Linked DNA regions of Pelodiscus sinensis. The protein of the gene in region 1 purifies or fractionates together with the protein of each later gene. This does not show direct contact. Links are inferred from orthologs where the notes say so. Each region holds a gene or a part of one and is shown on either strand. Other genes may lie near its edges.

What was found.
Region 2: the proteins of NUDCD1 (region 1) and DHX15 purify together in Homo sapiens (co-immunoprecipitation; 3 studies listed by BioGRID and IntAct, with this or other methods). This does not show direct contact. The link is inferred for Pelodiscus sinensis from reciprocal best matches to the Homo sapiens genes NUDCD1 and DHX15.

Annotation. Positions count from the first base shown.
Region 1 is NC_134712.1:29,337,200-29,345,493, forward strand, and holds the start of NUDCD1 (nudC domain-containing protein 1), read left to right. Parts: upstream 1-4,852; 5' UTR 4,853-4,941; coding exon 4,942-5,176; intron 5,177-8,294.
Region 2 is NC_134715.1:102,245,922-102,254,205, forward strand, and holds the start of DHX15 (ATP-dependent RNA helicase DHX15), read left to right. Parts: upstream 1-4,594; 5' UTR 4,595-4,798; coding exon 4,799-4,869; intron 4,870-8,284.

The sequences.
Region 1 (8,294 bases):
CGCCCTCCCCCCTCCAGCAGACCAGGCTTTTGTTGCAGGACGCCTGGGGTAGAGCAGCTGGGGTGCTGCCGGGTTGGTCCTACGGGGACCTATCCTGCAGCGCCCCAGCTGTTCTGTCCCAGGAGTCCAGATTCAGCCGCTGTTGAAACTGATCAGCGGCTGATTCCAGGAATCCGGGGGCAGAGCAACTCTGCCTAGGGCTTCCTGTAGTCAGCCGCTGATCAGTTTCAGCAGCAGCTGAATCTGGAGCCAGTTCCGACTTACATACAAATTCAACTTAAGAACAAACCTATAGTCCCTATGTTGTACGTAACCCAGGGACTGCCTGTACAGTAAAACTCTGATGGTCTGGGATCTGTTGGTCCGGCACTCCTGATGGTCTGGCACCATCAGGAACCCGGAAGTGCTCCAGGCAGCCGGACCATTGGAGCTGCTATGCCCCCAGCTTCCCCGATTCAGCTGCTGCTAAAACTGACCAGCGGCTGACTCCAGGAAGCCCGAGGCAGAGCTGCTCTGCCCCAGGCTTCCTGGAATCAGCCCCGATCAGTTTCAGCGGCGGCTGACTTGGGTACACCTGGGACAGAGCAGCTGGGGTGCTGCCTGGTTGGTCTCGCAGCGCCACGGGTTGGCGCTACCAGCCGCTGTTGAAACGGACCAGCAGCTGACTCCAGGAAGCCATGGGCAGAGCAGCTCTGCCTCAGGCTTCCTGGAGTCAGCCGCTGATCAGTATCAGCAGCGGCTGACTTGGGGACACCTGGGGCAGAGAAGCTGGGGTGCTGCCGGGTTGGTCCAGTAGCGCCGAGGAGTGGCGCTGCGGGACCAACCCAGCAGCACCCCAGCTGCTCTGCCCCAGGCGTCCCCAATTCAGCTGCTGCTGAAACTGACCAGCAGCGGCTGAATCAGGGACGCCTGGGGCAGAGCCAGACTATTGGAAGGGGGGGCTATGAGGGGTTTGAGGTGGCATTCCCCCCACCCCAGAACCCTTATAGTCCCCCCTTCCGATAGTCCGGCAAAACTAATAATCCGGCACCCTCTGGGTCCTAAAGGTGCCGTATTATCGGAAGTTTACTGTATTCACTGCTGATGACTCAGTCAAACTGTATACAATAATCTTTGCTTCCTGAATAACTAGTGTTTTCTGCACTTTCATCTTCATTTCAGAAAACTGGTAAAAAGAGAAAAACTCACAGCTCTTAAAGTTGTGTGCAGTAGTATTGTAGCCATGTTAGTCTCAAGATATTTTAGTCTATGGGTGGGCAAGATACTATCTTTTGTTGGATCTACTTCTGTTGGTGAGAAAAATCTACTGAACTTAGGCTGTGTCTACACTTTTCAAAGTGCAGCCACACCAGCGTTTTGAACTAAAAGTGTGGCCACAGAAGGAGCATTCTCCTAAGGCACATCTAGAGTACATCCCTCTGTTGGCAGACCAGAAAAGCTCAAAGTAAGCTCAAAAGTCCCTGGAAAAATCATGGAGGGGATCCTCAAGGAATCCATTTTGAGGCACTTGGAAGAGGGGAAGGTGATCAAAAATGGTCAGTGTGGATTCATGAAGGGCAAGTTGTGCCTGACCAACCAGAATGGCTTCTATGATGAGATAACTGGCTCTGGGGAGATGGGGAAGTCAGTGGATGTGATATACCTTGACTTTAGCAAGGCTTTTGATACGCTCTCCCACAATATTCTTGCCAGCAAGTTAAGAGAATGTGGATTGGCTAAATGGACAGTAAGATGGATAGAAAGCTGGCTGGAAGGTTGGGCCCAGCGGGTAGTGATCAATGGCTCGATGTCAGGATGGCGGTCAGTTTCTAGTGGAGTGCCCTAAGGTTCGGTTCTGGGACCAGTTTTGTTCAACATCTTTATTAATAACCTGGATGAGGGGATGGATTGCACCCTAGGCAAGTTTGAGGATTACACTAAGCTAGGGGGAGAGGTAGATACACTTGAGGACAGAGATAGAGTCCAGAGTGACTTAGACAAATTGGAGGATTGGGCCACAAGAAATCTGATGAGGTTCAACAAGGACAAGTGTAGAGTCCTGCACTTGGGACGGAAGAATTCCAGCACTGTTACAAGCTGGGGATCAACTGGCTAAGTCGCAGTTCTGTAGAAAAGGACCTGGGGATTACAGAGGATGAGAAGCTGGACATGAATCAACAGTGTACCCTTATAGCCAAGAAGGCTAATGGCATAGTAGATTGCATTAAGAGGAGCATTGCCAGTCGATCCAGAGATGTGATTATTCCTCTTTACTTGGCTCTGGTGAGGTCACGTCTGGAGTATTGTATCACATCTGGAGTATCCAGTTCTGGGCCCCCAATTGCAGGAAGGATGTGGATGCACTGGAGGTTCCAGTGGAGGGCAACCAAAATGATTAGGTGGCTGGAGCATATGACCTATGAGGAGAGGTTGAGGGAGTTGGGTCTATTTAGTCTGCAGAAGAGAAGAGTGAGGGAGGATTTGATAGCATCCTTCAACTTCCTGAAGGGAGGTTCCAAAGAGGCTGGAGAAAGGATGTTCACAGTAGTGATGGATGGCAGAACAAGGAACAATGGTCTGAAGTTGCAGTGGGAGAGGTCCAAGTTGGATATTAGGAAAAACTATTTCACTAGGAGGGTGGCGAAGCACTGGAATAGGTTACCTAGGGAAATAGTGGAGTCTCCATTCTTTGGCTATGTGTACACTGGCGGGTTCTTGTGCAAGAACATCATCCACACTTCCACGTGCGTGCTGTGCTTTTGCGCAAGAGCTCCCATGGCAGTGTGGACGCTCTCTTGCGCAAGAAAGCTCTGATGGCCATTTTAGCCATAGGGATTTCTTGCGCAAGAAATCCCTGCCAAGCGTCCACACTGCCCTCTTGTGCAAGAGCTCCTGCGCAAGAGGGCTTACACCTGATAAAAAAGAGCATAACTCTTGTGCAAGGAGCCCTCTCTTACCATGCCATACTGTAAATTTCCTTGCTCAAGAGCGGGCGGGCAGTGTGGACGCTCTGCAGATTCTTGCGCAACAACGGCCGTACTTGCGCAAGAAGCCAAAGCCACGAGCGTAGACATAGCCCTAGAGTTTTTTAAGTCTCGGCTGGGTTGATGTAATTGGGATTGGTCCTGACTTGGGCAGGGGGCTGTACTTGATGGCCTTCTAAGGTCTCTTCCAGCTCTATGGTTCTATGATTCTATGAAAAGCTTGTCTCCATCACCAACAGAAGACGGCCTAGTACAAGTACAATCTCAGAGTTATGAACACCTCAGGAATAGAGCTATTTGTAATTTTGAACATTATATTTGTTCTTTCGAAAGTTTACAACTGAACATTGACTTAACACAGCTTTGAAACGTCACTATTCAGAAGACAAATGCTGCTTTTAGCCATCTTAATTTAAATCAAACAAGAACAGAAAAAGTACTCTTACATTTTCAGTTTTTAAAACTGCCTGTTTTAGTAGTTTAACACCAGGGGTGGGGAACCTCAGGGCTGGATGCAGCCCTCAGCGTGCCTAGATCCAGCCCCTGAGGATCATTCCCCCACCCCCGCCCAGCATTGGGGAACCCATACTGGTACTCCAGCCCCCACTGGTACTCCACAAAATCTACTAGGCTAGGCCCCCACCAGGCTCTGGTGTGTGAATGGAATGTGGGGAGTGTCTTCTCCTCAGTTGGGGGCCACAGTGAAGGTTCCCCCCCACACACTTCTCACTTGGGTATCCCCCCCAACAGAAAACTGATTTTTCTGTGGGTCATTGGCCCCGACCTAAAAAAGGTTCCCCACACCTGATTTAACACTGTACTGCATTTCCTTTTTTTTTTTTTTGGGGGGGGGGGCGGTAATCTGTTGCTGCCTGACACGTCAGTCCATAACTGTGGTTCTAATGTAAAAGATACTATCTCATCCACCTTGTCTCCCTACAGTTCTTAAATTCATGGCTGTAATTAGATTACGCCAGATATTTTGATGAAGCTATGTAGAAGTTTTTGCTGCCTGTGTTAATTTAGTAGTTTAATGTTGATAAAAGGATCAACACAACTGACTCGAGCCACTTCACATCTATCACCTAACCTGGAGATCTGGTACTTCAGCCCAGACTTGATTGAGGAACGGCTGCTCACTGCCCTGAACTACAGAGTGGTGCAAGTCCAGGCTCAGATAAGAGACTGGGGGGGGGCAAACAAATCCGGCCACGCTTGCGTCAGTCACACCGAGCGGCTGCCTCTCTCCTCCCCGTGTAATGGAGCCACAGCCCGGCAAAGCGGGGCTGATACGATAACGTCGCAGGCGCTGCATTTCAGGAAACGTTTTTAACCAGAGGCCCCCGCAACCCGTCGAGCCTCTGCCGGAGCAAGGGCGCAATTCCACCGCAGCCCGCCCGCCCGAATGGAACTCCTCAGCCAGCGAGCCCACCCCGGCCTGCTCTCAGCCCCCCCCCCCCACCGGGCAATAACCAGCCCCGCTCCGCCAGCCTAGTGACCACGCCCCCTTCCCCGGCCTGGGAGACCGGCCTGAGGAGCGCCCGGCCCGCCAGGGCAGCATGGGGCCACACCACGGGGGAGCTCGGGCCTGGGCCCAGAGCCGGGAATGGGGGCGGGGATTTCAAGCCGAGTCCCGCGGCTCCCCGCCCGCCCCTGACCCCTCCTGGAGAGAGCAACTCCGGACCCCCGGACTCACCCCCGCGGCGGCGCGCTCAGCTCTGTAGGAGAAGAAAGCGACGCAGTCTCCCAGGGAGAATCCAGCACGGCCAAGCCCCTGCCCGCCTCTTCGCGCAGGGAACCCTGGGAAATGGAGTGCACGACGCGCTTTCCCTCGCTCGGTTTAAAAACTACAACGCCCAGCATGCTTCACGATCGGGGCGCTAGGCGGCTCGCTCTCCGTGCGGCATACAACTCCCAACATGCTCGGCGACTGGCCCGAGCAGCCCCTCGCGGCCAGAGCCCTAAAACTACCATTCCCATGGTGCTCCGCGGACTGCACGCTAGTTACCTTCTCCAGTGGCTTCTCCCTGCTTCCTCACAGCCTCCTTCCAAACTTTTCGCCGTTAGGCGGCAACTCCCGGCGCGAGCGACGGCGATGGAAGCGGCGGCCAACTGCTCCCTGCGGGTGAACCGGCAGCTCTTGGATCCCAAGTTCGAGGGCTACAAGCTGTCCCTGGAGCCGCTGGCCTGCTACCAACTGGGGCTGGACTCGGGTGAGGGGCGCTGCGGAAACGTGGCGGCGGGGCAGCAGCGTTTGGGGGGCGCGCGGGAAGGGTTTGTTCGGGCTCCTGGGGGGGGGGGGGGAGGCTGCTTGTGGCCGGGGAGCCCCGGGGCGGCAGGTTTGTGGGTGCTGCCAGGGCCAGGTCGCTAGTGTTTGCTTGGCTGAAGCCTCTCCGCCGCGGGTTGCTTTGCTATGTCCCGGCTGCTGGCCTCCGGGCAGAGGCGGCTGCCCATCCCAGTGGGGTAAAATTATTCAAGCCCCAGGTGCCTGGCAGGCTGTGGTTGTGCTCCCCTACAGGGCTGGGTAAATATTCTCCGGATCATTGGGAAACAACATTCCCTCCCCTGCCGTGCAAGGCCAAGCCTGACTGGTAACTGTTCCAGGTTTTGGTGCATTCTGGTCTACACTAGGGATAAGTTCAGATTAAGATTTGCAACTCGCGCTAGGTCAATTGCTTCGCAGGAGTTGACTTATCTTAATACGAGCTTTGGCTCTGTCCACATAGTGGGAGGTCACCGAGAGAAATGCTTCTCTCGACTTGCCTTACTCCTCACAGGAGCACCCTTAGCGTTCAAGTTAGCCAGTCTTTACTAGGTTTGCTAAATCGAATGCCAGAAGATCACTCTCCTGAGCCTTAATTAATGGGTAAGTATAGACAAGGCCCTGGAGCCATGTGTGCAGTATGGGCTAAGAATGTGTAAATTTAACCATGTAAACAGTTAACCAGTAACTCTGGATTTATCAGTTAATATTCACACGTGCATGCAGACTCCTGTGGTAGCTGGCTCCGCAGGAGTGGGGCTGCAGGTGGGAGCTGGTGTGCCTTGGGAGGCGTCTTAAGCTGACTCCCAGCACACACCACCTGCCAGGGAGCTGACTGTCACCCCACATGTAACCGTGTAACCATTTTTTTAGCAGTTACATAGTTAATTAAATGCATTTTAACATTTCTAATACAGACAGAGGTTGCCTTTGTCAGTCTGGGCTGGGATCCTTGACTGATATATGTGAGCAGCAGACTCTAGTGTAGGCCTGCGCTTTCTCCAGAGTCCCTGTAAGTCTTCAAGAAAAACTTTTGAGTGGTTTTGAGGGTTTTATATTTTAGCATTGGATCTTTAAAATATTTAATTAACGCATAGTTGTCGTTTTAACACGCCTCACTCTCCTCATACACCTTCATCAGTAATATAGTGATGTCCTTGTAGGTGAGCCTTCAATTCCATCTTTTATGTCGACCTCTTTTTAATAGGTGTCCTGATGAATTTCAAGCCTGCAGATTTTTCTGGTTTTTGGAAAGGCAGAGCAGCCCATTTTCTTCCTTCCCATTCTGAGACTTTTCCCAAACTCTCGTGGGTAGAAGTTTTACTCTAGTGTCTGTCGTTGTAGCCTAAGGCCAGGTCTACTCTAAACCCGGCAACTCAACTTAAGGTACGCAACTCTAGCTACATAGAATATGCTCCCATTAGCTTCTCTTGCGCCTTGCAAAAGGAGGAGTGCCAGTGGGGCACTTTAGTTAAGACTTGCTAAATCGAACTCCGGAAGATGGATCGTGGCAGTGACAATCTTCCTTTTAGTGTAGACAAATCCTGAAAAATGTATGAACAGCCATAGGTGAAATTTACATGTTCTTTATTAGTTTCAAAGCTGCTCAGGGAACAGAAGCTCTGAAACTGGCTTTGGGGCCTTTTCACTCTTGCTTCTTGGGAAAATTACAAGAAACAGCAGAGATACGGGAATTGCCTGTATGCAGACCATAGTATTGCTAACCATAAGTGTTTATAACTCATAAGCTACAGCTCAAAGTAACAAGGTTAGCTTAAAAATTCATGAGATGTAAAACAATGGGGGTTCTTTTGATTAGCCTTTTAGTTTTTTGTGCCTTTAGAGTGCACATTTTAAAGCTTTGTCTTTGCAGCTGTTAGAGATATCCTTTCTCCTTTTTCAAAATGAAAACTGAGATTTTCATGTAAAGTTGATATAAGATGGAGCTTTAAGAAAAACATTGGATGTTATGGGAGTTGGGATCAAATCATAAAAATTAGCATCCCTGCACTCTCCAAGAGGTGACTACACCCAGTTTTGATGACACAAACTTCTTCTGTGGAGGTGGAAGTTTTTATCTTCCCTTCCCTTTATTGTCAACCAGTCATGTAGTGTATGCTACAATAGGTTTTTTGTTGAGTTTATTGACCTCTAGCATGTTTTCCTCAGTGACCAATTAGCCACTGTGGCCAGTACTTTGAACTCTGCTGCTCTGCAGCCAGATAAACAGATGCATCCCTCCCAACTGCAAATCCTGGGAATTAAAAAAAAATCTATTTCCTGGTGTCTGGCTCGTTGTATAGTGGTCCTCATGGCATCTTCTCAGTGAGCCAGTGGTGGGTAGTGATAGAAATGTAGCCGTGTTAGTCTGGGGTAGTTGAAGCAAAATGCAGGACAATGTAGCACTTTAAAGACTAACAAGATGGTTTATTAGATGATGAGCTTTCGTGGGCCAGACCCACTTCCTCAGATCAAATAGTGGAAGAAAGTAGTCACAACCATATATACCAAAGGATACAATTAAAAAAAATGAACAAATATGAAAAGGACAAATCACATTGCAGAACAGGAGGGGGATGCGGGGGGGGGGGGGAAGGAAGGAAGGTAAGTGTCTGTGAATTGATGATATTAGAGGTAGGGGTGGGTGTCACTCAAACATTCCCCTGCTTGGAGCAATGCAGAGCTTTTGGATCTTATCAGTGTGTGAGGTGAAGAATCAGTGCAGGCACAGCTATGAGTGACTTGTAGGAACTGGGACATACACAGTCATATTTCTTGAACCATATATGAGAAGAGGTTTGAGTGAGACATACTACACTGCGGAGCCAAGATAAAGGTACTCTGGCAGGCATACCAGAAGGCAAAGGAGGCAAATAGCCGGTCTGGTGCTGCATGTGCAACATGGTGTTTTTATGAAGAACTAGGTGCAATCCTGGATGGGGACCCCATAACCACACCCAAGGAGAGTGTGGATACCTTCCATAGACCAGAAACAAAAACACTTGTCCCAGAGACAGAAATTATTGATGAACAGCTGGAAGTGGATGAAGGGGTTAGGATTAGTCCAC
Region 2 (8,284 bases), on another chromosome or scaffold:
CCAAACATAATAGCATCACCTTAATATAAAAGGGAAAAAAAGTGAAAATGAAGTGGGCTAAAAATTAAGTAAAATGAACATGATACTGACTAGTAAATCTTTGTTAGTAGAATGAGATGGAAAGTATAAAGAAAAAAACAGTGCAACAAAGCATACATTTTCCTTCAGTTTCACTACTCTTTAGATTTTTACTAATACAGATTAAGAAAGAAGAAATGGTGAAACAAATCATTTGTATTCCTTCAGTTTCAGTAAACTATGTATTTTATTAATACAGATGCACGTAGAAAAAAGTTTAAAAAGACTTTCTCAGCTAACAACTTATTTTAGAAAGATCAATATTATGATGAAAGATTGTGCGTCAGTTGCCTAAAATGCCTTATATCACTTTAAATTAAAAGTTTGCAGAAAAGCCTAAGGAAGGAGTTTAAAAATCAAAGAAATTATAATTGAATTAATTGAATATAAAATGAATGGTGGTAGTGTGATAGCATACCTTTTTGGTATGCTAATAATTAGTTTTGAAATAATGCTTTAAGTAAATAGAAATTAATAACAGAAAATCCAGTTAATGGCATATACAGGCATAATAGCAGGAAGTAGGGGTGGGGTGGGGTGCTGCAGCATCCCCAGGTTTTGTGCCTGATGACCCTGTTGCCACCCCCACACCACTGCTGCCCAGGGTCCTGTCCACCAGGTCCACTGCTGTCCAGAAGCTCCACTGCCACCCTCAAGACCACCTCAACTGCTGTTCCCAGGGGTTCCACTGCCAGCCCTGCATGCAGAGTGGTGAGTGGCGCAGAAAGGAGTAAGAGGAGGGGGAACTCAGCACCTCTACTCCAAAAACTGTATCAGTGTCACTGCCTAAGGGTGCTGTAATATAGTGGGAGATTTCATTTCTAAAAGACATAGGGATCCATTGTTTATGATGTAATAATTCACTTCCTGTGATGTAATGGTAAATTCAACTTTCTCAAGGGAATGACAGGAAGTAGCTCAAGTCATCAATAGAACAGCTAGAAAAACCCCATAAGAATATATGGAAAACCGTAGAAATGTATAAGGATGATGCAAATGGGTGACAAGATTGCATCATTATCAGGTGATGCAATCAAGGCACACTATTGCATCACTTCCTGTGGGGCTGGCTCAGCAAAATCTCATAGAGCAGAACAGTGCTGTACACCTGTCAGAAGATGATTACATAAAAGAAACCAACTAAGAAGCAACATCAGAACCCTGCAAAGAAAGAGTTGCTTGCAAAAAACAACTACTACAAAAGCAGTAGCAGCAATTTGCACCGGACAATGGCTGCTTCTACCACCCAGTCAGCAGAAGGCCCTCATAGTATCCACCAGTGCAGCAACCAAGCAGGCTTCTGTATCTGCTACCAGATAGGCTGATTTACCAGAGGAGCAGACAGGCACCCAATAAAGAGACAACTGCAGAGATTACAGCAGTCTGCAGCCATTGGACAATGCTCTCAAAGTTTGTGACAGAACAGAAGGACCTTTAAATTGTCTCAGAAGGAATCTTAAAAATCCTCTGTAAGATAAAAGCGTTGTCCATTTAACATCCTAAAGCATATGGCCTTCGTTTGTAAATAAAGTGACTGTGGTTTGAGTAAGATCTTTTCCTGTCCATATAATAAATTCCAGGCCAGCACTGACTTGACACTTAGTTTTAATGTTGAATATTTAATTCATATATTGTTACATTGTTATAAGGTAGAGAGCATTAAGTGAAGGTTTATATTGTTGTAAGTTATAGGAGTGAAAGTTTCAGAGGGGCAGCTGAGTTAGTCTTTAACAGGAAATCTTAAAAAACAATGACAAGTCTAGTAGCATCTTAAAGACCAAAAAAGATGACACCTGAAGAAGTGGGTTGTGCCCACAAAAACTCATGATACCATCTACATGTTTCGTTAGAATTGAAAGTGTTATTGTAGCGTGTCTTTATTTGCTGTGCGGCTTCATTCACTTTTTAACTGTAACCCTATTATCTATATCTCTACTCTTATGCTGTAACCACTCATTTCTAAATAAATATTATTCTTGTTTATGATATTCTTCATCAGAATGCTGTATCCATATCCTTGCAAGGGACTGGCTTTTCCTGGAAATTCTTTTAGGGCAGACCACAACCATAATTACTGGAATAGATAAATTAAGGATAAAAGGTTTTTAATTAAAAGCAGTGGTTTTAGGCAAGCTCATTGACTTAATATAATTGGTTTCAAATCTTTTGATAACAGTATGATACTGTGTTCCATTTTGTGCATATGTACAACAAAACGTCTGAGCTCAGCAGTAGAGGTTGTTCATAACTCTGAACAAAACATGATGGTTATTCTTTCAAAAGTTCACAACTGGACTTTGACTTAATACACTTTGAAATTTTACTATGCACAAGAAAAATGCTGCTTTCCCTTTTTTGAATAGCTTACATTTAATACAGTACTGTACTGTATTTGCATTGTGTGTGTGTTTGTCTGATTGCATCCTTCTTGTTCCAAATGAGGTGTGTTATTGACTAGTCAATTTGTAACTCTGGTGTTCCTAACTCCGTGGTTCTGTATTGCATCTCCCAGAGTTGTGGCAAGATGCTTCTCATTGGTCAGTTTTGTCCCATTGTTACTTTGTGCTCCCCCATCTGATTGCTCTTGCTACCTGTTGTTTTTCACCTTATATTTAGACATTGATCCTGGAGACACTAATGAATGTACTCCGCTTTACCATTCTGAGTAGTCCATTTGGATTACTTGCAGATGCACAGGTTTGCAGAATCAAGGAATTAGATAGTAAACTGTTTGGACTGGGACTGCATATTTATTATTTGTTTATTTAGTGCATAGCACAATGGGGTTGGGATATTTAAGTGCTACCACAATGTAAATAAATAATGATAATGCTAAAATGGCCTTTACCAGGTCAAAATTTGGAATAGAGCCATGCCCATATAAGGCTACATTACCATGATTCACGAAATAGATATCCCAATGCTGTGTATAAGTTTAAAGTATTGCCTCAATACTCATTCCTGCCTAGCCACTACAAAGCTCAAAATCCAGTCTCTCCAAATTAAAGCCTAACAGATCTTTGGGACTGCCAAATAAAAAGATGTCTATTATTTGTATTACAGTAGAACCTGGACTTCTGCCCAACTGAGATATGGGTCTGGCTGTTTTACATACTGTAGAAACTGAGAATGTAAAATCCTATTTAATTGGTTAACCGGTTAAATGTGATGTTTAACAGGTTAACTGATTAAAGGAGGAAAGGTTGGGAGGCTGAGACTGGGCTGGAGCAGCCCCTCCCCATCATTGCAGGCTTCAGCCCAGCCAGAGTAGCCCCTGCCTGCAATGCACCCGGGCCCCACTGTGCACAGGAGCTGCTTTGGGCAGCCAGAGCAGCCCTTGTCTTCAAGCGTGCCCTATGGGGCTGTAGCAGCCACCCGCCTGAGGTGAGCGGAGCTTCTTCAGCCCCCACGCATTAACCGGAACCAATAAATCTTTCATATCCCTCATAGATACATGTAGAAGACAATTCCTGTCCTGAAGAACTTATGCTCCAAGGACTTGTCTACTGGAAAAAGTTGTACCAGTACAGTTATGTTGGTATAACTTCCTGTTTGGACATTCTTATTCTGAAAATAAGAGGGCTTTTTGTTTTTGTTTAGCTTAAACAAAAACACGTTATGAGTGTCTGCATGGGAAGTTATAGCTGTATAGTAATAGTGGTTTAAAGTCAAACCATAACTTATGTAGATATTACTTGTTAAAGTCTTAAATAGATGAGACAAGACAACTAATCACAAGAAAGTGGCAGAACCAGGAACTGAATTCTGATCTCACAAGTTTGTCAGTTCCCTTCTGAAACCACCATCCTTCTGGAAGGATTTGTCTTTGTTTTAGGGGGCCTTATAAGATATATTTGTGTTCCTAACTTTTGGGATATGTCTTACTGATACTTTACACTGGGGTAGGTTCTGATGTCTGTCCTGCTCTGACATCAGTTGAAACACTGTGTGTGCACAAACGTACAGTTGCGCTGAGCTAGTGTTGCTGAAGGGCAGGTAGTTATGGCCCCAATCCTACAAAGATTTAAAGTTCCATCATGTGTACAGTTATGATGGACACAGGTAACAAGTCCATTGCGTTAGGTCTTTATGGAGCCAGGCTAAGTCAGCCATTACAGCAAGTCAAAAAGCCATGTCACCAAAGCAATGACACTGAAACAACACAGTCTACTGGAAGGCGCTAAAAGCATGGGGCAACCGAGATGCGTCCCAGGCCTAGTTGTGCTCTTCTAAGCAATCTGCCTGCACCTGGACAGGCTATAGGTGGGCGAGCCATAGTCTCAATCTGGTTCCAACTCAGAGCACCACCTCTCTGGGGTGAGGGGAACTGCTCCTGCTACGGCCCAGGGCAGTGCCCGGGCTGTCCCATCTACAGCACTAGCTCTTTCCGCCTCCGCCCACACCCCCTTTTCCCGCTGGCACCGCCTCACGTTGTGACTCCGGCCCTCTCCCTGGGTGGCAATAGAATTCTAGGGGGCGATCCGCTGGCCGGACCGAGGCGCGCGGGGGAAGGTTCCCAGCCGGGCTCGGCGTGGCTGCACCGCCTCCCCCTCTTCGAAGTGGCTCGCTCAGTGTCTCGCGCGGATCGAGGCTTCCTTCCGGCCGCCATTTTAGTTGCTGTTCTTGGCCTCGCGGCGCTGCCGCCGCTGCTGCTCGAGGAGCGGAGAGCGCGGAGCCGTAGCACCCATCCGCGCCCGGAGTCCCCGCCGCCGCCGGCACCATGTCCAAGCGCCACCGCCTAGACCTGGGGGACGACTACACCTCCAGCAAGAAGCGCGCTACGGCTGACGGGTGAGGGGCGCCGGGGCTAGGGCCCGGGCCTGGCCGCGCGGCCTGGGGGCGGGGGCTGGTCTCTCTCCCTCTTGGAGCGGTTCCTGCCTAATCCGCTTTGTGCCTCGGCGGCAGACTCGCTCCCTGCAGTGCTGGGCCTGGCCGAGGCGCGGGGGGGGGACCGGACCGGCGGGGCTCGGAGCCGGCCGGGCGCGGCACGCAGGCCCCATGGCGAAAGCGCTAGGCAGGCGCGTCTCCTCGTCGCGCTTGTGGGGGGAGGGGCGGCCCAAGAGCCCGGCGGCTTCCTACAGTCTTGGGAGGCTCCGTCCGTCCCGTTTAAAAGCCGGGAGTCCCGGTGCGGGGCGGGGGACGTGGTGGAGGCAGCGGGTACCGGGCGAGCTGCGTGAGAGTGGCAGGGAACCGGCCCCTGTGCCTTTCCGCGCAGGAATCGGAAATCTTGCCGGGGTAGGCTCCGATTAGCAGCCGAGATGTGCCGTGTGTCCGTGCAGTTGGGAACCCCATCGGTTACCCGACTCCTCGGGTCACTGAGCTCCCGCCGCGGCCCCGCATCCCGGGCGAGAATAGTCCCGTGAACCCGACTCCCAGTGCAGCGCTGAGCAGGGACCAGTATTTCTAGTGTTTTTTTTAAAATTCTGACAAGGCCTGAACCAGATCATAGTGTTCGGCCCTACGCCGACCGTCTTCCTTCAGTAAATTAGAGTGATCTCCGCAACTTCTGACTACAGCTTTTCAAGTTGCTGTTTACAGATAACGGTTACGATTGTTGAAGTTGGCGGGGGTGGGGTGAAGGGGGACGGCAAAGGTATTCTTTTGTGTGTGTTCTCTGTCCGCCTCTACATGCATTTTATGCCTAGTGAGTTTCATTGTTCCCCGTGTTATCAATCACTCCTTTGTGTGAGTTTTTCTAGAGGTGGACAGAAAGAGTGGGAAAGCATTTATAAACATAATCTTAAAATCACAAACGCAGGAAGCAATGGTGGGCGACCTAGGGGTGAATTTAATTACTTCTAAATTTATTTTTGTTTTTAACTTGCACTGAAAATTGATGGGGGAGGGGGGCTATGGATATTGAACAACAAAAAATTGAGGGTAATTAAATTAGTTTACCTTTGGGTTGAAGCATTTACATTCTGAAATCAAAAATATAATTCTAAAGATTTTTCTTGTTGGAGTGTGGACAACAGTTAAAGTTAAATGGAATGATTGAAAATGACCACATATTCATGGGAATTGCTGTGCTAGTTCAAATCATTGGTCTGTCTAATCCAGTATTCCATCTGTGAAAGTTAATAATGAAAGCTTCAGAGACAGAGGCAAGAAATGTCAAAGTAAACGTTTACAGAATAGTGCCTTTTCCTTTAGGGAAAATTTCATCCTAGTCGATGTCCATTGGTGACTGGTACATGCTTTAAAGCATGAGGGCTCCTGGTCTTTATTTACGAAAAAAATTACCCTATCTCATGCTGCTGTATGTGGTCTCATTAATAAGTCTGATCCTAGGAGTAGGCTTATTGAAAGCGTTTCATTGTCAAGGGATGTTCTTCTTTCAAACTCTCCCTCCAATCAAATATCTATTTTTAAGTCCTAGCCACTTCTGCAGCATCCCAATGGACTTCCCTTCCCCACAACTGAATACATTGCTTCTAACCCTGAAAACAAATGTCTTTTGAGTTGTAACTAAGTAACTAGGTAGTGTGAAGACATAAGAAGACATCAGTTTCTGTAAAATGTAAGCTTTCATTTAAAATTAGGTTTTAAGCTTTTTTTATATTATGCTCTTATATAAGTACACAGGCTTCAGTCACATAACTCTCATTATGATGGTGTTGGTCAAAAGGATAGCATGAAACAGGTGGTGGATAAAAGAGTTATAATCCAAGGCCCTGAGGCATCTTCTAAAAGCTCATTTTAGGTTTAGTGCATGAATTAAGATAAAATGGAACTAATTTTTGAAACAAACAACCAGAGGCACTAGAGAGGGAGAGTGAGGGTAACGATGACACAAAGTATTGTAGATTTTAGATCTCTTCTAAAAGACAAATTAAACAACATATTAATGGTGTCAGAGATTCTTGCTGGTCACCTCGGGAATCATACAATTAATGGAGGATTAAGATATAGTAAATTAGAGCTTTTGTGGGCCTTTTCTCATAAGAACAAGGATTATTGGCCTTTGCCTGGTTGCACAGCTACTTTTAAAAACAATCTTCATCCTAGAATGTGCAAAAAATAAAGCTACTACATGCTAACTTAAGCTGGTTATAAAAAAAATACAGTGGTACAGGTAGACACTCCTGTACCTAGTCATCTATTTTGTTAAAGGGAGGAATGGCCAGCAGCAGTCTGAGATGCATATAAGATGCTGTGGGGGAAAGTAATTGACCACAAACTCTCTTCAGGAACTCTGCATATTCTTGCAATTCTCCTGAATAATATGAGGCAGCCTGGTACACTGTATGAAGAGTTTGTGTTGCCCCCCAAATTTAAAGGGAGAATAGAAGTGTTCCTGAAGATATGAGTTGGCCTTTCACTTTTAGGTGAGAATATTAGGATTATTTTTGTTGCACCATTTGAAATTTGCAAATTGAAATTCAAAGTAATATGAAGTAGAGGGAATCTTCAGCTTGCAAGTCAAAAAGTCACTAATTATTCTTGGCTTTTTACATATGTAAGTATAACAATTGTTGTTGTAGTTGCTATGTCTGACCACTGAACTGTTTTGAGGCAATTTTATTTGTATCAACAGCATATTGTGGAAATTCCAGAGACGAAGATGAGGGCACTTCTAGTTGAAACAAAGATTTGTAAAAGGCACAGTTTCTATTTAAAGTGTTTTAATTAAATACCTTATTTATAGCTTTTCTGATAAATTAATAAATTACCTCTTTTGCAGCAAGAGACAGTGCTGTTACCTTGAGGTACTAAACTATGTACTGGTACAGTAAATATTTTCTAGGAACAAGTATAGTACATCCAACTATAGTTAATTTTTCAGAGGGTCAGATTCTCAAAATTATCCTCTGGTTTTAGGTGCTTGGCTTTAGACCTAGGGCTTAATTTTAAAAAAGCATTGAACACCTGCAGCTTCAACTGAAACTAACTGAATCAGGTTCTGCAGTATAGACATAAACTCAAAATTATACAGCACTATGTCAGTATAGTCACCTAGTGTAGATTAGGGATGTAAAAACATTTAGGAAATACCAACAGTATAATTGATTAAGTTACATGGTTAAATGGGTCCTATGGGCGCTGGTGGCTGCAAAATCCCAACAGTGCCAGTATGATTCAAGGCCTGGTGTAATATATAAAACCAGTCCCCCCCCCTACTCCCAATGAAAGGAGAATGGCTAGATTCCAAATTCACCACATCCCCTCCAGAAAACTATTCCTCAGGAATTGGGGAGGGAAATTA